Linked DNA regions of Ovis aries. The protein of the gene in region 2 purifies or fractionates together with the protein of the main gene of each other region. This does not show direct contact. Links are inferred from orthologs where the notes say so. Each region holds a gene or a part of one and is shown on either strand. Other genes may lie near its edges.

Evidence for each region. Proteins that work in one complex are often made in the same cells at the same time.
Region 1: the proteins of POLR2E (region 2) and POLR3E purify together in Homo sapiens (affinity purification with mass spectrometry; 5 studies listed by BioGRID and IntAct, counting the BioPlex papers as one, with this or other methods). This does not show direct contact. The link is inferred for Ovis aries from reciprocal best matches to the Homo sapiens genes POLR2E and POLR3E.
Region 3: the proteins of POLR2E (region 2) and PPP1CA purify together in Homo sapiens (affinity purification with mass spectrometry; 5 studies listed by BioGRID and IntAct, counting the BioPlex papers as one, with this or other methods). This does not show direct contact. The link is inferred for Ovis aries from reciprocal best matches to the Homo sapiens genes POLR2E and PPP1CA.

The regions. Positions count from the first base shown.
Region 1 is NC_056077.1:20,516,674-20,523,816, forward strand, and holds the start of POLR3E (DNA-directed RNA polymerase III subunit RPC5), read left to right. Parts: upstream 1-2,386; 5' UTR 2,387-2,512; intron 2,513-7,143. UniProt on the Homo sapiens protein: DNA-dependent RNA polymerase catalyzes the transcription of DNA into RNA using the four ribonucleoside triphosphates as substrates.
Region 2 is NC_056058.1:41,255,844-41,262,900, reverse strand, and holds POLR2E (DNA-directed RNA polymerases I, II, and III subunit RPABC1), read left to right. Parts: upstream 1-2,396; 5' UTR 2,397-2,461; coding exon 2,462-2,518; intron 2,519-3,960; coding exon 3,961-4,135; intron 4,136-4,944; coding exon 4,945-5,060; intron 5,061-5,406; coding exon 5,407-5,487; intron 5,488-5,811; coding exon 5,812-5,900; intron 5,901-6,012; coding exon 6,013-6,091; intron 6,092-6,197; coding exon 6,198-6,263; 3' UTR 6,264-6,853; downstream 6,854-7,057. UniProt on the Homo sapiens protein: DNA-dependent RNA polymerase catalyzes the transcription of DNA into RNA using the four ribonucleoside triphosphates as substrates.
Region 3 is NC_056074.1:41,697,898-41,704,855, forward strand, and holds PPP1CA (serine/threonine-protein phosphatase PP1-alpha catalytic subunit), read right to left. Parts: upstream 4,758-6,958; 5' UTR 4,708-4,757; coding exon 4,653-4,707; intron 4,123-4,652; coding exon 3,991-4,122; intron 3,846-3,990; coding exon 3,615-3,845; intron 2,983-3,614; coding exon 2,878-2,982; intron 2,291-2,877; coding exon 2,067-2,290; intron 1,986-2,066; coding exon 1,851-1,985; intron 1,772-1,850; coding exon 1,661-1,771; 3' UTR 1,324-1,660; downstream 1-1,323. Other genes in the region: cell cycle checkpoint control protein RAD9A, read left to right, coding at 88-301, 603-698; TBC1D10C (carabin), read left to right, coding at 5,929-6,233, 6,949-6,958. UniProt on the Homo sapiens protein: Protein phosphatase that associates with over 200 regulatory proteins to form highly specific holoenzymes which dephosphorylate hundreds of biological targets.

The DNA.
Region 1 (7,143 bases), on a different chromosome or scaffold from region 2:
TGGGAGCCGCAAAACCATCAGAATCTCTGTGACTCTCTACTCTTCCTCTCATTTTATCATTATTTTTCCATTCACTGGCTTTCTCTTCTTCTCCAGTCCATCTCACAGAATCTGGCCACCCCAACTCCTAGTTCAGTCAGTCGGTCTCAGAGACTGACCCCAGCACTTAGTACAGTCAAAATAACAAATCAGGAACTCACCATGTCTCATGATTGGTCTGACCTCTGTCCTGTGTTTACCATAGAGCCCACTGGCCACGTTGGGGGGAAGGTGACCGCCAGAGACCCACTCTCTGGGCTGGTCAGGCAATTACTAGAAAAGTAGAATTAGGCAGCTGCTGCTACGAATCCAGCAATTATTCTTTATCATAGGGGTATTTCCTTTTGGAAAATCCAGCACATAACTCACAAACAAATACAGTTCCTCATGGTACTGAAACACCATGAGCAGGTCAATGTTTCTATTGATTGCAAGGACTATTCCTCACTTGGTTTTGATCCTCTCACAATGCGTGGCCGAGATAGATGGCTTCTTCTGTATTTATTAAAGTTTGCTTTAAAAGTAACAAACTCTCCCAGTACAATGAAAATCTTTGTATGTCAACACTTATTTTAAAGGTAGATGGAGAAAGAAACAGGCATTAAGGAGGAATTGAAGAGACAGAGGAATATGGAATGCCCAAATATCAGGGTGTGTGCCAACTGGATATTAACCAGAAACTTGAATATAACGACTTAATATAAACCACTTAAATGTCCATCTTCATAGCATGGAATAAATTAGATCCATATATATCACAATAAATAAAAAGTGTAATATTGGAGTAGAAAAGCAAGTTGCAGAATAATATTGGTACAATGTAGTAAGGATTATGTAAATAAAAAGCAAGATCACACTATATATTTTTAATGGATTTTTAAAATGATCACATTCACACTTTTAATGAAAAGCATATACATAAGAACTGGAAGTAAAATGCCACGATATTATGTAGTGGGAATATGGATGATTTTTTTTTGCATTTTTTCTATATTTTAAAATATCTACATATATATCAATATGGATAGATACTAGAAAAAAATAGGTGAAAAAAGTCAGTTGCAATAAATACTCAGTTCAGTTCAGTTCAGTTCAGTCGCTCAGTCGTGTCCGATTCTTTGCGACCCCATGAATCGCAGCACGCCAGGCCTCCCTGTCCATCACCATCTCCCAGAGTTCACTCAGATCACGTCCATCGAGTCAGTGATGCCATCCAGCCATCTCATCCTCGTCCCCCCTTCTCCTCCTGCCCCCAATCCCTCCCAGCATCAGAGTCTTTTCCAATGAGTCAACTCTTCGCATGAGGTGGCGGAAGTACTGGAGTTTCAGCCTCAGCATCATTCCCTCCAAAGAAAGCCCAGGGCTGATCTCCTCCCGAATGGACTGGTTGGATCTCCTTGCAGTCCAAGGGACTCTCAAGAGTCTTCTCCAACACCACAGTTCAAAAGCAATAAATACTACTAGTATGATTAATATTTATATTTATGTAAAATCCATAACAATAAAAACAAACTACCTATTTCTATGGATATATCTATCCACGTGAATATATCCATATATATTCACATAAATTCACAATAGAAGGTCCAGAAGGAAACGCAGTGTACTAAGCTGTATAACGGTTACCTCTGAGGAAGGGACTTAGAGACCGAAGGTAAAAGAACATTAGTACCTTATCTACAAAGTTTTCATATTTTGCAATAATTCACATATTATCTGTGTAACTAAAAATTAAAACACATAATTTTAGAGAAAACTGCCTACACCAGTCCACGGGTTTGGCTTTCGGAAGCCCTGGTGCGGGTTACTGCCGAAATCCATCGTTTATTCCCGTGTGGGTTAACCTGCTTAACGTGTTAAACGTCCTACTCAGAAAACAGATTCTTAAACTGTTCTAAGATCTGTTCGGAAGAAGTGTGGGTCTAATTACTGGAGAAAATATTTTATTTTTAGTAGCCAATACTTTCTAAAATAGTTCTATAGGGATGAAGTAAAACATATAGCAAACAATCAGAAATTAAGTGTACTTGCATGTAAATGCATTAAATAGCTTTCTGGAAGGCCCCACTCACAACTGGGTAGCGTGGCCGAGCGGTCTAAGGCGCTGGATTAAGGCTCCAGTCTCTTCGGGGGCGTGGGTTCGAATCCCACCGCTGCCAGAGTGAGCTTTTTGCCCCTTGCTACCTCCTCACCAGCTGTTTTGCTACTGCGTCAGCGCCCCCTGCTGCCAGGCCAGGGCTGGCCGCCCGTATGAATGGAGCGGCGGAGGGGGCGGGTCCGCGCGCGCCGGGGCGGGGCATTGTGGGTAAAAGGAAGCGCTAGGGCCCGCCCCTCTCGCTCCCCCCACGTGTCCGCCCGAGTTTCTCCACCGGCAACATGGCCGCTGCCTGAGAGGAGAGTCTGGCCACTGCCGCTTCTGCAGCCCGCGGGTACCTGGGCCGTTGCTGCGCCCGCGTGCGGGCCCCGCGGAGAGGTGAGTGCCGTCTTGGCAGTACCCACCCGTGCTGGAGCCGGGCCGTACTCACGAGGTGGGCTTGGGCGGGGCTGCTGAGTAGGCCGGGAGGCCCGCGCCGCGCGGTGCCCAGGGGCCGGGGGCCTCTTAGGACTCCCGCGGGAAGGACGGGCAGCCTGCCCCAGGAGACCCGGGCCGGCCACAGGCTCCGACCTCGCCTCGCCGTGGCAGTCGGTGACGCCAAGGCCGAGGCTACCGGCGGTGACTCAGGGTCCCGCCGCTTTGCCCCACCCGGCTCAGGCCGGCCTCCTGTGGGAGCACCTGTCCGAAGGCAGCCGGTGTCCTGCCGGCGTGGCGGCTCGTGGCAGTGGCTGTGTGGTGGGCGTGAGAAGGGGGCCTGACCACCCGCGAGGGAGGCGAAACCCATTGGACAGTGTGGCGCGGGGCAGGCGGCCCGCCCCGATGGGCAGGGGGAGGGTGTCCGGGGCCCCCTCCTCGCCGCCGAACCGGATCAGCTCGAGTCCGGCTAGGCCTGGAATTCTCCATTCATTTATTCCAGCCACCCTTCAGTGCTAATTGGGAGCCAGCGACGTGCGGCCGATGGGGCCGGCCCTGAAGATTTGATCAGACGAGGTGTCAGTAAGCACGTCAAGTAAACCAGTAAATAAAAAAAGTCATTTTGTTGTGTTAGCTTTAGAATCATTGGAGGGCAGAAAAAGGAGAGCTTAAAGCAGTTGTCACGGTTTTCTTCATCTGTGAATTGGGGGTAAGAGGATTCCCCCGCCTCCTAGGGCTGTGATGAGAGCTAAATATAGGGTAAGACGGGAGAAGCGCCAGGTTGTAGTGTTTGTTTCGTGGCTCTGTCTCCTGCCCTTTTATATTGGAAGAAAACATTGTGCCGAGTAAGTAACAAACCTTCCCAGGGATTACGTTTCTACTTTACTTAATCTTCACAGTTTTCTGAGGTTGGTACTTTTGTTAATACCCATTTTTGGGGTGAAAATAGTGAAGATCAAACGATGCTAGACGGGGTAGAGGTACCAGAGGGCAGACCTGGGATTTGAACCTGTGCAGTTTCACTCTAGAGTCTAGGCTTTTACCCACTACACCATCCTGCCTTCCACTAAGGGAGCTCGCAGCATAGTCGTTAAGAATGAGAATAAGGCTATTTGACATCAGCTAGACCCAGGTTTGTGGCTTAGCTCTGCCTTTCTCTGGCACTGTGACCTTGGGTAAGTTACTCTCTGAACTTGAGTTTCCTCTTCTGTTAATTGGGGATGGTATCAATACATCCTTACTTAGAGAGCTATTGGACAGATTACATGAGGATGAATATATTAAGTCCTTAGAGAAGGGAGGGTCTTATGAGTTAAGAATTAATTCTTTTTGCCTCTAGGCCACCTCTCTCCTTGCATTGAGGTGGAAACTGAAGTGACTCAAAAAGGGGAGATGCCTTGTCGAAGGGGCACACAGCCAATAAGAATCCAGACTTTGAGACTGTTTACCCTGGGCCCCTTACCCCTTAATTCAGTTTTGTGTTGTCTCTCTCCTTCCAGTAGCTGGAGACTGTTTTTCCGTTGGCCTCTGTTTTTCTGATTGGCCTACAGGTTAGACTCCTGGGTGACCCAGCTGTGGCCTTCAGGCATCTTCTCTGCTCTGGACCCTCCCTTAGATTTACCTTGTCCCCTTTCCTTTGTTGAACAGTCCCCTGGTGGGGATGTTTTCTGTGCCCAGTGCTTGGAGCCGCTGCCATAGAGTATCTTTGTGGTCACAGGAAACCCTCTTGAGGTCAAGGTGGTCACTGCTGCCTTGAGGTGGTGGCCTGGAAGTGCAGACCACACCCCTGTCCTCAAGTGTCCAGGAGGCCCGAACTGTAAGGCCACCAGTCTCTGGATGGGGCTGAATTAGGATCACTGGGTAAAGGGTCTGTCACTGCCTGATCTCATGCACTGATTTACTCAGTCTTTGTACTATATTAAGTGTTTACTTCACTGTTCTAGATATTGGGAGAACAGCATGAATTTTTAAAAAGATAATAATGCCCGTATCAACTCCACAAAGTAAATTAAATCATCTCTGTTTTATGGTTGAAGCACAGAGGGTGCTCATGGAGCATACATTCTAGTGCAGAAGACAGACAACACATAAGCAAATAGACCAACTAGGTAATTCCAAGTTATAATAAGAACCATGAAAGAAATAAAACAGGGATTTGGTAGTGACTGGAACGGGTGAGGGGTGGGGGCCTTTAAGGTGACTGGTCAGGGAAACTTGTCTGTTCCTGGAGGAAGTGGGATGGGTGATATCTAGTGAAAAGGAGCCAGCCTTTTTTGAAAAGACCTGAGGAAAATAGATGATGTGCAAAGTTCCTGAGACTGGCTGGGGCTTAGCTTGTTGGAGGCCCAGCAAGATCATATGGGACCTTGGGGCCATGGAAAGGAATTTGGATTTTATCCTATGTGACAGTTGAAGAGTTTTGAATGGGGGAATGATAACTTTCCTTCCAAGGAGCAAGGGTCTTTGAATTTCATGGCTGCAGTCACCATTTGTGGTGATTTTGGAGCCCAAGAAAAGAAAATCTCACTGCTTCCACTTTTTCACCTTGTATTTGCCAGGAAGTGTTGGGACAAGATGCCGTGATCTGTTTTTGAATATTGAGTTTTAAGCCAACTTTTTCGCTCTTTCACCCTCATAAAGAAAGAAGGTCGTTAGTTCCTTTTCACTTTCTGCCATTAGAGTGGTATCATCTGCATATCTGAAGCTGAACTATTTCTGCCTGCAGTCTTGATTCCAACTTGTGATTCATCCAGCCTGGCATTTTGTATGATGTACTCTGCATAGAAGTTAAATAAACAGAGTGACAATATACAGCCTTGACGTACTCCTTTCCCAGTTTTGAACGAGTCAGTTGTTCCTTTTGAGGTTCTAACTGTTGCATCTTGTTCTGCATACAGGCTTTTCAGGAGACAGGTAAGGTGGTCTGGTATTTCCGTCACTAAGAATTTTCCACAGTTTGTTGCGATCCACACAATCAAAGGCTTTAACATAGTTAATAAACCAGTAGTAGATGTTTTTCTGGAATTCCCTTGCTTTCTCTATTATCCAATGAATGTTGGCAATTTGACCTCTCATTGCTGTCCTGGGGGTACCACAAGGGACACACTAGATGAAAATCTCTGCCTTCGACTGGTTTACCACTGAGTGGCAGTAGGGGTGGATGGTAAACACGAAGCTGTAAACTGTCGCGTCGTGATACGTGCTGTGAAGAAGGAACTGGCTGGGGGGGTATTGTGGTTTTAACTGGGTGGGTAGGGAAAGCCTCGGCCATGAGGCAGAGTCTAAGCAAAAACTTGAAAGAGGTGAAGGAGGGCACTGTGGGGTTATGGGGGCCAGGGGAGCAGTGACAGAGACCCAGAGGGGGGTTGGGGAAGAGGGGGAGGCCTGTGGAAGATGAGGTCTGAAAGGAAGAGGGTCAGGGAGGGGTTGTTTAGGGCCTCGCACGGGATGGAAACAGCGTTGGCTTTTATTTCTGGCGATATGGGGAGACTGTTAAGGGGGAGGAGTGATGTGATCGCTAGCTGTGGGTTCAAGGTGGAAGGAGGGAGGCCAGTTAGGAGGCTGCTGCTCTAAGGTGGGCAGGAGCTGGAGGTGGCAGCGGGAGTGCCCAGATGCTTGGCATACTGTGAAGGTGGAGCTTACAGGATTTGCTGGTGTGGGATGAGAGGAGGAGGAACATCGAGGATGATGCCAGTGCTTCGGCCTGAGCCTTGTTAGTGTCTGGAATGTGTATCTGGAATAAACATGACTTTGCATGGTGGCTGGGACAGGGCCTAGATGCCATTGAAACCCGTGGTGAGAGTATGTATGCTCTTTCAAATATTAAACCATTCTAGTGTTAAGTAAATTAGACAGAAATTGAGCTGGTTTGATCCCTGGGTTGGGAAGATCCTCTGGAGAAGGAAATGACAACCCACTCCAGTACTATTGCCTGGAAAAATCCCATGGACAGAGGAGCCTGGTAGGCTGCAGTCCATGGGGTCGCAAAGAGTTGGACACGACTGAGCGACTTCACTTTTACCAAAAGAAAGAGGTCTGGGAAAGGCTGAGATCAGAGGCTGCCCAGGTGCCTTATTTATTTATTTTGGTCTACCGTAGGTCTTTGTTGCTGCCTGCGGGCTTTGTCTAGTTGTGGCTACTAGAAGCTGCTTTCTGATTGCAGGGCCCAGGCGAGGCCTCTCTTGCAGAGCACCAGCTCTAGGGTATGTCGGCTTCGGTGTCGGGCTCAGTAGGTGTGGTGCGTGGGCTCAGTTGCCTCTTGGCACGTGGGACCTTAGTACCCAGAACAGGGATGGAACCCGTGTCCCCTGCCTTAGCAGGCAGTTTCCTAACCAGTGGACCACCAGGAAAGTCCGCCTAGATGCCTTTTAAAACCGAGCATATCCTTCCTTTAGGAATATGAAGGTGAATTATAGTCAGACCTCCATGTTCCTGGATTCAGCTAACCTCAGAAACTACATTTGCCTTGCCCCTGGCAACTATTTACATAATATTTGCACTGTGTTTATGACTTTTTACATAACATTTACATTGAATTAGGTATTATAAGTAACCTAGAGGTGATTTAGAGCTTCCCTGGTGGCTCAGCTGATAAA
Region 2 (7,057 bases):
ATTGGCAGAGCTGCATGGTGGCGGGTTCCCAGGAGAAAGTTGCAACTCCATGTCCCATTGCTGAGGTCACACAGTCACAGGCAGAATTCTGATTCATGGGCGATGGGATGGGGCCCACCTGCTCCTGTGAGTCCATTCTCCCCTCTTCCCTGCCCCAAGGAACAGCAAGGTCACCTAACATCCCCTGCCACCCACACCTGGGCCTTCCCCGGGTAAACTCCAGGCTGCCCTTGGGAACCTCCAGCAGTTCTGCCCCCTCTCCCACTCAGATTTGCCCATCACCTAGACACTCTTTCTCCTGTCTTAAAACTCACTCTAGGGCATCCCTGGTGGCTCAGTGGTTAAGAATCCACCCGCCAATGCAGGAGAAATGGTTCAATCCCTGGTCCAGGAAGATCTAACACGCTGGAGGGCAACTAAGCCTGTGCGTCACAACTACTGAGTCAGGCACCCTAAAGCCCGTGCTCTGCAACAAGAGAAGCCACCGAAATGAGAAGTTTGTGCACCACAACTAGAGAGTAGCCTCCACTCGCCACAACTAGAGAAAGCCTGTGCTCAGCAGCTAATACCCAATGCAGCCAAAAATAAAATAAATAAAACCCACTCTAGAACGCCTCTCTTTCTCCCCCTTCATCCACATCTCCAATTTCTTTCCTCCCATAAAGAAAGGCCTCCTCCCTGGATCTGCCCTCTGTGGTCACAAACAGTGGCCCCTGGGCCAGTCCCCTTCTCAGTCTGCAGACCTGCTTTGACAGCTACTCCACCCACCTCCTCCAGATACCTCCTTCACCTGACTCCAGGATACCAGGTTTCTACCCACCCTTTATTCTGTTTCAGGAACACTTGGGTATCGCCCTGCAATCTTCAGCCAAGTACATATGCAGTGGGTTCTGTTCTTGCCCCTGTTCTACAAAGGAGGAGGGGGACATTGAGGCACAGAGAGGTTAAGTAATGTGCCCAGGTCGCACAGCCAGCACTGGAGCCCAGGTAACCACATCTCTTTGCCTTCTGCCGTTTCCTCCCCTCCTCCCAGCTTCAGGGCTCAGGCCTGACTTCTGATGCGCTCTGTGACCTCATCAGCCTCTCAACTCCAGTCTGCACTGTGCGCCCACAACATCCACATCAGCCTCCACTCCAAGCTCATCCTGAGTTCCAGGCTTGTGCCCTACTGTCCCCTGGATGCTCCCCGTAGGGTCCCCCAGGAGTCCCAAGCTCACCATATCCAAGATCTGCTCCAGATCTGCCTTCTATGCCTCCCCACCGAGGTCTGTTCTTCCTCCTCTGCTTGTCTCTGTGTCTTTCCACATCCTGTCCACCTACAGATCCTATGAGCGCTGCCTTCTGGACACCCTAGACCTGCCCACAGCTCATCCTTCACTTGAGGCCTCATCTATCTCTGGCCGGGACGGTCCTCCCTAGCCCACTCCTTGGTCTCCCTGTTTCTGCCCTGTGGAGATGCTGAAAATGGCTGCAAGCACAAACTTCTCAAACCCAACCAGCAAGGGCTCCCAAGATCTGCCCCACCTGACCCTCTGACCCACAGGCCTCCTTGCTGCCAACATGCTAGGCCTCAGGGCCTTTGCACATGCTGTACCCTCTACCTGATACACTTTCCTCGACATCCCCAGGGCTTCTACCCTCTCACCCTTTGGATTTTTGTTGGAACCTTCCATGACCACATTTGAGACTTCTCTATTTTTTCTTCCACAGCACTGTCTCCTTCTAACACGCTGTATCATTTACTTATGTCCGCTGTTTCTGTCCTGTCTCTCCCTGGCATGTAAGGATGCTTGGTCTGTTTTGTTCCCCGTCTCTTTGGCTCCTCATTAAATACTGAATCATTGAATTAATATATTACTGAATGAGAAGTTACTGACACAAGTAAGCTGGGCTGAGCAGGCCTGAACAAACCTCCTGAACGAACTCGGAGGGGAAGGGCCGATGCAGAGGTTGTGCACTCTTGGGGTATCCAGGCAGGGGCTGGGCTGGGGCTCAGCTGCATTTTGTAAGCACCAGGAACTATACCAAGCTCCTCCCAAGTACGAGCATCTCTTTAGATCCTCTAAAATGGGGGACACTTTATTCTTTTCATTATACAAAACGGAAAACCGAGGCTCCGCTCACACTTCCTCAATCTCTCCAGATTCTAAACACTGTCCAGACTGACGTTGAGCAAAAACCACCACTCCCGAGAAGCCGTGCCGTCAAAGCATCGCGAGAACTTCCGAGGGGCGGGTGGGCGGTGCTGTTTGAAAGCTGCTCGCGCAACCAACCGCCGCTTTAGGAAGGCTAGGGCTGCCCTTGGCAGTGCCGCTCCCGAAGGTCGCTGTATTCAGGCGTTCGCCTGCGACAGCCCTGCACGGGTAGACGACGTGTTGGGGGCCTGATCAGGACTCGGAGTAGGCACTGTGGGCCCTGGTCGTGCTGGTCGCAGGCGCAGTGTGTGAGAGCGGCGGGAATCATGGACGATGAGGAGGAGACATACCGGCTGTGGAAGATCCGCAAGACCATCATGCAGGTGAGCCGCGCGGAGGCAGCCCTCCTTGGAGAACGCGGTGAGGGCGTGCCTGGCTGCGCCAGACGAACTGGGCACGTGGCGGCCGAGGCGTGAACGGCGGGTGCTAGGGCCCGTTGATGAGGACGAGCCTCTTCACCCGCGGCGGCGCGGCTGGAGCGGAGGAGTCGAGCCCCAGAGCCCCCAGAGAAGGGGGTCAGGATCTCGCTCGAGCTGGAGAGAGGGAAGGCGGGAGACGCTGGGCCGCCTTGTATTTGTGTTTCTGGAGGGTTGTGGTGTTACAGCCCCTGATCCTTGAAGTTCTTAATCAGTAAGAATTGATAACAGGCCAGACTAGAAGGTCAGGCAAGGCTTTGTTGGAGCTTATGCTGCAGCAGGAGGGAGCGAAAACAAGCAACAGGCGCCCTTCTTAGGTCGTCTTGAATGGGATAATGGGATGAGGGTGGGCGCGGGTCCAGGGGTCATGCCAGAGTGATGATTCGGGTGGTCTGCCTACCCTCTGGGTGGTGCTGTGTGCAGGGATCAGGCCTGGCACCCAGCTTTTGCTCCGGCACCTCAGAAGTGGAGGTTTTGACTTTCTGTTGTTGTCTATCATTTGCTCGAGCTGGGCAATTGCACGGTTATTTTTAGTCCCGCATGGTTTCTGGGTATTCTGTTGCTGGAGAAGATGTTTGTCCAAGTGCAGGCGCTGCCGCAAAGGGTCCCAGCTCCCAGCCTGTCTTATCAGCACCACCGTAAGTGCATAACGCAGAATCCCGGGTTCTTGACGGTGGAAGGAACCCTGGTGGGCTGGTCTGACTGCTGTCTGGTGGTTACTTAGATGCCTTGCCCACCAACTCAGTCTCAGTGTCACAGCAGTCACACCAGCTTTTTCTGTGTACCACATGCTTTAAGCCACCATGTGAGAGGGGTCCAGTGTGATGCCACAAAGACTTGGGGCCTTGATCAAGAGCACCCAGCCTCCTGGGAATTGTGCTGGAGCTAAGGCTGGGCTATGACCCAGCCTCTTCAACACTTGGCAGAGCTACTCAAGACAGGGCGGGAGCAGCTGCGCTTCTACCTGATGGTGTCGGGGCTGCGGGAGAGGAGACCCAGGTCTCTGAATGGAGACTCGGCGGGGGGTGGGGGATGTGGGCAGGGCTGGGTGGCAGCTCCAACCTTCCTTTGTCTGGGTCCTCACCTAGTCTGTGTGCTCACAGAGCCCTAGTTTCTGAGCAGGACCTTGAACTGCTGGGCCTCAGGCTTTTGCCTGGTTTCACAGCCAACACCCGCCCAGCCTGCTGTACCTGTCAGACCTACGCCCTGGGGCCTGACTCTGGACTCAACATCTCCGCTTGCATCCCAGGCCTTTCCCCAGTCTCCTCTGCGGTGGGTGAGGCCACCGGAGCTCTGGCTGCTGTCCTATCTCCACTGTGCGATCGATCACCTGCCCTTTCTCTCTGCAGCTGTGCCATGACCGTGGTTACCTGGTGACCCAGGACGAGCTGGACCAGACTCTGGAGGAGTTCAAGGCCCAGTTTGGGGACAAGCCCAGTGAAGGGCGGCCAAGGCGCACGGACCTCACGGTGCTGGTGGCCCACAACGACGACCCTACTGACCAGATGTTCGTCTTCTTCCCAGGTGAGGGCTGCTCAGGGCCAGCTCACAGCAGCCACCTGCTGTGCGCCCCAGAGTCATGCACCCACCCTTATCCTTCTGTCCCCTGCCCTCCTTGCTCTGGGAACCCCTTCTCCAGCTTCCCTCTTCTCGATCACCCATCCATTCTCTCTGGGCCTAAAGATCACATTTCCAAATACAGTTTCATTCTGAGATTCCAGGGCCAGGACCCCAACAGAGGGACTTTGAGGGCAGAGTGGGTTAGTGGAATGGGAAGTGAGAGCAGCTGGAAGGGGCGGACATACTGCACACAGACCCTGGGGCTGCCCTAGGTGCTGACCTGCTGGGCTCCTAGGGTCCGGCTGTTCTGTGGCAGGCCCTGCATGCTGCCAAGACCATGAGGACCCCCAGTGCTACGGCATGGAGATGGGTGGTCTGTGTCTGGCAGGACCATACTCTCTGGGTCAGCTCACCTCAGCTTACCTCTGAGAACCCCAGCCCTTGTCTCATGAACTCCAAGACTAAACCAAATCCAGGGCTTCCCAAACCTCAGAGCCACTGAGCCCTGGCCAAGCCCAGACTCCCAGACCCCACTTCCAGAAGAGGTCCCTGAGGTCCAGGGCACCCAGGGCACTTGTCAGCTCCCATGTGACCTGGAGGCAGCCAGCTCCCCCATTCTGGGAACCAGCTGCCCAGTTCTTGCTTTGCACACGGGGAGGCTGAGGCCCAAGAGTGGGAGTGGCACCGCAGTGCCTTGGCAGAGCCAGGCTAGAACCTGGGTGCCCGATGGGAAGGGGCCCTGCAGCACTGATCAGCCTGTGCTCTGCCTGCAGAGGAGCCCAAGGTGGGCATCAAGACCATCAAGGTGTACTGTCAGCGCATGCAGGAGGAGAACATCACACGTGCCCTCATTGTGGTGCAGCAGGGCATGACGCCCTCTGCCAAGCAGGTAAGCCTGCCCCGCCAGGGTGGGATGGAGCCTGGCCAGCACCTCTGTCCCCAGGCCCGGGGACCGGCTGCCACACTAGCTCCCAGCCACCCTGGGAGCATCCTGACAGGTACTTACCTTTCTTGATGTGAGATGAAGGCCTTATTACTGCTGAGAGCCTGGGCGGAGTTGGGTGGGGTTTCCCAATTTATGATGCGCGATGTCTTTCTGAGCCACAAAGGTAAACCCTGCTCCACTTCCAGGGTGCTAGCTGCCCACGAGGAGGAGCTGGGTTGGGGCAGGCCTCGGGGCCACAGAGGGGCGGGCGGCTGCCCCTGCTGCACTTGAGGGTTGACGTCTCTTCCAGTCCCTGGTTGACATGGCACCCAAGTACATCTTGGAGCAGTTTCTGCAGCAGGAGCTGCTTATCAACATCACAGAGCACGAGGTAGGGGTGCGGGGGCTCGGGTGGGATGAGACTGGAGACCCAGCCCCCAGCCCCTCACCTTTTTAGGAACAGCAGACGTCCGGGGGCCCCCTAGTGTGGAAAGAAGGTAGGGCGATCCAGCCTTCAGTCAGGAGTTGGGGGGCGGGGTGCAGTTTCTATCTTCCCTGCAGCCCTGGCTCCCAGGATTGTGCCCTGTGGCCCATCTGCAGGGTGGGGGTGTAGGCTCCAGACACGCACCCCCTCCCTCCCAGTGTGGAGTTAGGACTGGCTCAGACGCTTGGAGCCTGAGCTGTACCCCTCCCCTGGGGGCTCCGGGGTCTGTAGTCCCATGGAGCCCGGGTTCTCTTCTCACAGCTGGTCCCGGAGCATGTGGTCATGACCAAGGAAGAGGTAACGGAGCTGCTGGCCCGGTAGTATCCTTTCTGGCCCCTGACTGGGCCCAGCTCCTCTCCCCACCCTGCCTTTCACCCCAATCCCAGACCCCCAGTCAGTCCAGTGAGGCCTTTTCCCTGACCTGCTACCCAGTAAACTCCGAGAGAACCAGCTGCCCAGGATCCAGGCAGGAGACCCTGTGGCGCGCTACTTTGGGATAAAGCGCGGACAGGTAAGAAGCCCTCCCAGGGTGGAACTAGAGCCAGGGCTTCTGGGCAGGGCGGAGGGAACCCAGGCTGCTGCTCCTGCACCACTCCAGCTCTGCTTCCTGCCTCTAGGTGGTGAAGATCATCCGGCCGAGCGAGACTGCGGGCAGGTATATCACCTACCGGCTGGTACAGTAGCTGCCTGTGGACAGACAGCTGGCATCGAGGGCCCAGGCAGTGGTACTCATCCCACTCTTGTGAGCGCACCGCACCACTTCCCTCTCTGCAGGCAGCCCCAGTTCCGGCCTGGTTGTACCCAGCTTCTGTGACGAACAGTCACAGATCACACGACTAACTGCCCGTTTCTCTGCCAGCATGTCCCCTGGGGGACAGAGAGACTGTTGTGACCACCCCCTCTCCCCACCCCACCCCCGCTGCTCCCGGCCAGGAGTGTGGGAGCTGGTTGCCTTGGGAACCTTGCCTCTGCTCCCCCTGGATCCTAGGGTGCTTCGCCTTGGGCCTAGGATCTGCCTTTCCTGGGCTGAGAGTCCCTGCAGCCTCTCCTGGATGCCAACCCCTGGCCCTGGATCCCAGCTGACGGTGCCTCTGGAGGGGCCAGGACACCTCAGGGTGGCCCGGCATCCTCTGGCCTCCCCTCGCTGTGTCCCCCACGGTGGCCCTGATGCTGCCTGTCCAGGGGCTCTGAGGACAGCAGCGGATGGAAACTGGGATTTGGTTGCTTTGGAATGCTGGGCATCTTAAAGAATTAAAGCTATTTTGAGTAATAAGTTCACTTATCTGAAGACCAAGGCAAAACAACCCTGGGTTTGCTGTGAGCAGCCTTGCTCAGGCTCTTAGATACTCCACAGGGTCACTGCTCACTTCCCCTGGAGGAGGCAGGGGTGGAGCTCCAACACACCCCCTAGCTTTGCTTCTTGGTGCTCTTCTTCCATAGAAGTTGGGGGTCAGACTACCTAGTTTTTCTCTATACT
Region 3 (6,958 bases), on a different chromosome or scaffold from region 2:
GTTACTAGGCTCCTGCAGGCCCTGGCTGAGCCCTCCAGGTGGGGGCCCTAACTGTGTCCCCACCGCTGATACCGTGTCTGCCTGTAGCACGCCCCACGTAGACCTGGATGACTTTGCTGTCGATGACATGGACTCTTACATGATCGCCATGGAAACCACCATGGGCAGTGAGGGCTCTCGGGCACTGCCCTCCATCTCCCTTTCACCTGGCCTCCAGCGCCCCTGTAGCTCCAGCCCCCACTCAGAGGAAGATGACGACATGGAGCCCAGCACAGTGCCTGGGACTCCCCCACCTAAGAAGGTAGGGGCGAGAGGCGGAAGGGCTTCCCTGGTGGCTCCGATGGAAAGACTCTGTCAGCCACGTGGGAGACCTGGGTTCACTCCCTGGGTGGGGAAGATCCCCTGGAGGAGGGCATGGCAACCCACTCCAGGATTCTGGCCTGGAGAATCCCCATGGACAAAGAGAAGCCTGGTGGGCTACAGTCCATGCGGTTGCAAAGTCAGACACCACAAGCGACTAAGCAGGAGGCAGAGGCTGGGATGAGAGGCGGAGGGCGGGAGCAGCCTCCAAACTCACCAGGCTTCCTCTGTTCTCTCGCCAGTTCCGCTCGCTGTTCTTTGGCTCCATCCTGGCCCCTGCACACTCTCCCCAGGGCCCCAGCCCTGTGCTGGCTGAGGACAGTGAGGGCGAAGGCTAAGCCGAGCCAAGAAGGGGCCCGATGAAGCCCCACCCCACCCCTCTCCCAAGGCCAGCCACGGCAGGTCCGCTCTCCTCCTTGGTGGGTGGTAGAGATGCGCCCTGCTGGAGCTTAGCTGACTGGTCCCACCACCTCCCCCAGGGCCTTGACTGGCCTGGGTCTTGTTGTTTCCCTTCAACCCTCAAATCTTTCATTCAACCCTCAATCTATCATGTCTGTTCCCAGTCTCGGTGCTGAGCTGCCCTCTGCAGGGAGTTCCCTCACCTCTTAATCCAGTTCTGTGGCCAGAACTGGAGGACTGCCTTCTCTAAGCCCACCTCCCTAAGAAACAAAGAAATCATTGTAGGGCTTCTGCCCCTGCTGATCCACCTTCTGCCAATCATGACCTGTCCCTCCCTCAAATCCTGAGCACACCACTGGGATCCCCTGTGACTGGCACACACTGCTTGCTTTCCCTGAACTCTCTGGCCCTGGCTTGGAAATTCCAAGAGCCCCTGCGGACCTGGGCACGTGGCTGGGGTTTTCCTGGCTGGGGCCCGAAGCCCAGCAAGCCTCCCAAGTGGCTCTGGGCGGAAGAGTTGCCAGGCCCAGTGTTTGGGACAAGGGAGACAGGCTATGGCAAGAATCCAGCTTTGACCTTTATTCAAGAGACCAGATGGGTTGCCCCAGGATCCGGCTGCCAGCCCTGAGGCCAAGCAAGGCTGGAGATCCCCAATCTGGCCCTGCTTTGCCCTGAGCTGCAGCCTTAGCCCCAGGATCCTGCCTGCAGCCGCTGTAGGTACAAGCGGGAAGACCCCTGGGGGACTGGATGCTGCTATTGATTCATAAAAAAAAAAGAGAAAAATACACCAAGCCTCCATGTTCCCCGTGATGGGTGGGCCTGGGGGGCCAGCACGAGCCCCCTGTAGCCACATGATTTCTGTACAATCCACCATCTGGGGCAGAGGGCGGGCACACGGAGGCTATTTCTTGGCTTTGGCGGAGTTGCGGGGTGGGGTGATGGGCCGGCCTCCAGGGTTCAGGCCACTGAACTGCCCATATTTCCCCTTGTTCTTGTCGGCGGGCTTGAGGATCTAGAAGAGAAAAACTGGTCAGGCTTAAGGGGTCAAGCCGTAAGTCCCTGGGCCTGCCTGCCCCCGGCCCGACCCCCACCTGGAAGGAGCACATGAGCGTCTCGTCCACGCTCATCATGGCACCTGCATTGTCAAACTCGCCGCAGTAGTTGGGGGCTGAGAAGAGTGTCACCAGCTGCCGCTTGGCAAAGAACTCGTAGCCGTCTTCTACTACCTGGACGAGGGTGGAGGCGGTTAGTTCAGCAGGAGCTGGCTGCCAGCCCTGCTCTAACCCAGATGGGGGCTGCCAGCCCACCTGGTGTGCCCGGCAGATGAGGTCCAGGTCATGCTTGTGCAGGAACTTGGCCACCACCTCAGCTCCAAAGGTAAAGGAGACGCCGCGGTCATTCTCGCCCCAGCCCTGCACGTCCTTGTCAGGGTCAGACCACAGCAGGTCACAGAGCAGGCCCTGGTCAGGCACATCTGTGGGCCGCATGATGCGCCGGATCTGCTCCATGGACTGTAGGTCTGGGGACAGGCCTGGAGGGCACAGGGGGCAGGTCACCTCCTCCAGGCAGCCTTTGCCAATCAGCCTCTGCCCCCCACCTCTCCAGGATTCCTGGGAGCCTACAAAGGCAGAACTCATCACCTTCTGCCTCTTCCAAGTCCCTGTCCCTTCAAGGAGCACAGAGCTCCCTGGAGAAAGTGTTTTCGCTCAGTCGTGTCCGACTCTTTGCAACCCCATGGACTGTCCAGGCAAGAAAGCTGGAGCGAGTAGCCATTCCTTTCTTCAGGGGATCGTCCCAACCCAGGGATCAAACCTGGGTCTCCCGCATTGCAGGCAGATTCTTTACCATCTGAGCCACTAGGGAAGCCCTGGAGAAAGGGGACAAGCAAACTCCATGCAAGAAGGCGAGGCCATGACACAACAGTGGGTGCAGCCTAATGCTGCAGTGCGGGGGCACGTCATGGAAGAAGTACTACCCATACCAGGACTCCAGGGAGAGCTGTTCCTGGCGACTGGGAACACATCTTCCAGCCGACGCTTCTGTCCCAAGGTCCCCAGGGGTGCTCACCCTGGGAGGCTCATCCTGCTCAAGAATTCACATGCCCAGAGCTGTGCTCACCTCCATGGCAACAGAAGATCTTCTCGTCCACGATGGCAGCGATGGGCAGGCAGTTGAAGCAATCAGTGAAGGTCTTCCACAGTTTGATGTTGTAGCGTCTCTTGCCTGCCCAGGGGGAAGGAGACAGCTCACCAGAGGGCCTCTGCTCCACCCTCAGCCCAGGTCTCCAGGCCTTCCAGGACACATTGTGTGTTGTTCAGACACAGCTAGGAGGAGAGAATGGAAGGCAAAAAAGGAAACCGAACCCCCGCCCCCTACCCCTACTACCCCACTGCCTCCCAGACAGAATTCTAAAGCAGCCAAGTCCACGGGAACCCCAGAGTTCCACTTCTGGCACGACCTCAAGGTTGGCATCCACCCCCAGCACAAGAGCAGGGCCAGGTCGAGACAGGGTCTGGTTCATCTTGGCTTCTGTCTAACAGAGTCCAGTCCCAACAGGCATCCTAAGTGCTTAAGTATCGGATGCGCTGGAGGGGAGTGTCAGCAGGTGAGGCCCTGCCTTAGAATCCTGGCAGCCCTTCAGCCAGCAGCCACTGGCTAGGTCCCTCCTGAGTGCCAGGATCTGCTCTAGGAGGGTCGGGGAGGGTGGCATGGGCTGGTGCTACCTTCACGGCACTCAGCTTAGCAGGTGTTTGTCAGACGCTGACACCCCAGCCACCAGGTCAACACGAGGGTCGCACTGAATGGCAAGGAGAGCCCTTTAGGACCAGGGCAGCCCAGATGCTCTGCCCACTCACACTCATCATAGAAGCCGTAGATGCGGTTGATACTGGCACACTCGTGGTTCCCACGGAGCAGGAAGAAGTTCTCCGGGTACTTGATCTTATAGGCCAGCAGCAGGCAGATGGTCTCCAAAGACTGCTTGCCCCTGTCCACGTAGTCCCCCAGGAACAGGTAGTTACTTTCTGGAGGGAAGCCGCCGTACTCAAACAGCCGCAGAAGGTCATAGTACTGGCCGTGAATGTCACCTGTGACCCAGGGAACCAGGTCAGCACTAGGGCAGCCTAAACGTGAACCCAGGGTCAGGGTTGGGCCCAAGGGAGGAGAAACTTGGGAGGGGTGGGGGGCAAGGCCGCTTTCAGGAGGCCACGGGGACCTGGGCTGGGGGCTCACCGCAGATCTTGAGGGGTGCCTCCAGCTCCAGAAGAATGGGCTGGCTCAGGAAAATCTCCCGGGATTTGAGGCACAGACCACGGATCTCGTTCTCCGTCAGCTGTACATTCTTTCCAGGCCTGGAGCCCTGCACTGGGGGCGGAAAGAGGCGTCAGGACCCTGGTTCCTCAGGCAAGAAGAGGGTGAATGTCACTGGTGGCCCCAAAGGCACTTCTGGGTAGGGGCTCCTGGGCCTCCCGGCCCCGCCTTGCCCAGGGGCAGCTGTTGCTGCTGAGCCTCCTGGGACCCCCAACTGCCCTCAAGGCGCTCGCGAGGGGACTGCTGTGCGCAGAGGCCATCCAAAACCTCAGCACAGGACCCCTTCCTGGGGGACTAGGCTTCTCAGGTTTCTCCCTCAGCCAAGAGCCCAGGCCAATCCTTGCGCGCCCACCCCCGCCACCGCCAACCCCGGTTCTGCTCTGGCAAGGGGAGCAACCCCAGACCTCCCAGCGCGCCACGACTGGGGTGGGGTGGGGGCACGATGTGGCCACGGGACCTCGCGGCCCGTCCCCGCCCAGTCAAAGCTGGCCCTGGGAGGGGCAGGTCCACCCGCGCGCCACTTCCGGGCCGGGCAGGGGACCAGGGCGCGGCGGGCGCCCACCTCCCTCGCCTCCCCGGCCAACCTTCCAGCAGGCGTCCGATTATAGAGTCCAGGTTGAGCTTCTCGCTGTCGGACATGGCGGCGCCGCCGCTCTGGCCCAGCACCTCCGGGCCCTATCCTGCCTCCCGCCCTCCCGCGGCCTCCTTCCGGCCTGGTGCTCCTTCCGCCCGCCCGGGCCCGCCCCGGCCCGCCGCCCCGCCTCCTCTGCCGGCAGCCCCGCCCCGCCGCACCCGGCCCCGCCCCGGCCCGCCCGGTCGCCCGCCGCCCCTGCGCTCTAGCGCCTCCACTGGACGCCAGGCCCGGGGCCCGCGGCGGCTCGGGAGGCGGGGCTCGGGCTGACCTGGTTGCGGGGGCGGAGCCTACACTGGGGGCGGGGCTTCACGGGGCGAGGTCGACTCTAGTTCCGCCCTTGAGGAGTTACCCACCCTTGCACCGAGGATGTGCGGCCGGAAGTAGTGTGGAGTTGTTTTTCTCTTTCAAGGGCCCAATAGTCCTTCCCATTTCTGTCCCGGGCTAGAAGGTGGTGTGACCTCATTGATATCTCATTGGGTCTCCCCAGAGAGTGCAGATTAAATCCACGAAGTGCAGGAAAGGAAACAGGTTCAAAGATAGCAAGGGTTGGCTTCAGACTGACGGAGGAGCTCTCACCTCTAGGGTCCCTGTGGCCTGCGGGCGGCTGACCATACCCAGACACCTGTCGCTGAACGCCGAGCTCATTTTGGTCCCCCTGCCCGTGGCGCATGCTACACCATTACTACTATTTTTTAATGTCTCGTCGTTGTGTTTTGAGTAGCGCAGTAATGACTTACTGTTTGACTTGTCGAAAGCGTTAACAAAAGAAGTCACGTTAAATAAAGTGTAATACTCACTGGAACCCTGAATTGAGTGTTTTATTTGCCTGTGACCTCACATCTGGAGGCAGCGTGGCCTCTCTACCTCTGGCAGGCCCTGGCTGCATCACACCCAGCACAAGAACCCAGGCCTGCACCCACCTAGCCCACCGGGGTGGTGGGAGGAGCCCATGGCCCAGGGCTACTGGGGCAGGCCGGAAGAGCCCTGGAGAGGAAGGGGTAACCCCCCCCACCACGCACTTGGGAGGGGCCCTCAGCGGGTTGCTGAAGCTGTGGCTGAGGAGGAAGTGAGAGGAGGAGGTGAGGTGCAGCAGGGAGGTAAGCTGGGCCCCTTGGGACAGGGGCTGGGCCTGGGTCTCCGGTAGGGGGCCTGGCCTTTCTGCCCCTCTGGGCCTGTGCCCCACCCCCACCCCACAAGAGGAGAGGGTACCAGAGGGGTATGGTGCGATGCCCTGCAACCTGTCCTCTTTGACCAGGCGGGCAGGTCCTGGGGCTGAGGCCTGGCTGCAGAGGCGCCCCGGCCCCGGCTGGCCGGGAGCCCCTGCTCACACTGGCTGTGCCCACATCTTGCAGCCTGCCGCACGGGGGGTCGGTGGCGCCATGGCCCAGGCCCTGGGCGAGGACCTGGCGCAGCCCAGTGAGCTGCAGGATGACTCCAGCTCCTTGGGGTCCGACTCAGAGCTGAGCGGGCCCGGCCCGTATCGCCAGGCTGACCGCTACGGCTTCATTGGGGGCAGCGCAGCAGAGCCAGGGTAAGTGGAGAAGGGATGAGGGGGGTACGGGGTGCTGGGCCTAATGCTGGAGGCTGAGAGCTGAATTCTAGAGTGAGGCCCAACCTCGAAGGTCCTGGAAGGGTCTGGGGACTCAGCTAGCATCACCTGTTCTCAGGTTCTAGATGGAATCTTAAGATTAGCAGGGCTATGGGGAGTGAGTACCTGTGTGTCTCTTCCTCCCAGTCTCTGAGGGTTCCCAGAGGGGCTGAACCTGCTTCTCCGTTCAATCTGGCCCAGGAATCCCAAGATCATAGAACCCACACTTCTTCCCCTACCAGTCCCCCCCTTCCCCAGGTGCTGACAGGAAGACGAGATCCGAGATAGATAGGGAGGTCATACCGCCATCAGAGGCAGAATCAGGCTCAGAGAAGACTCCTGGTTTCTAGCTCTTGGGCTCTGTCTACTCAACTTCCCCGAAGAGTTGTCTGTGTCCCCGTCCCGGGGGACAGTCTACCAGCCCCTCCCCCAACACACACCTACACACCCTCTTCAGTATCTCCTGCTTCCGCCCACATCAGAGCCACATCCTTTCCTGTCCCCATGACAACCACTGGCAACTCCTGGGTGACAGGTCACTCCCCACCCCAGAGATTCCCAGAGATCTCCAGGGCCAAGGGTTGGGCTCACCCAGGTGGTGGGAAAGGCCGAGGATGTGGCCATCCTATGTCTGGACATTTGTGCCGTGTGCCCCCAGGCCGGGTCAC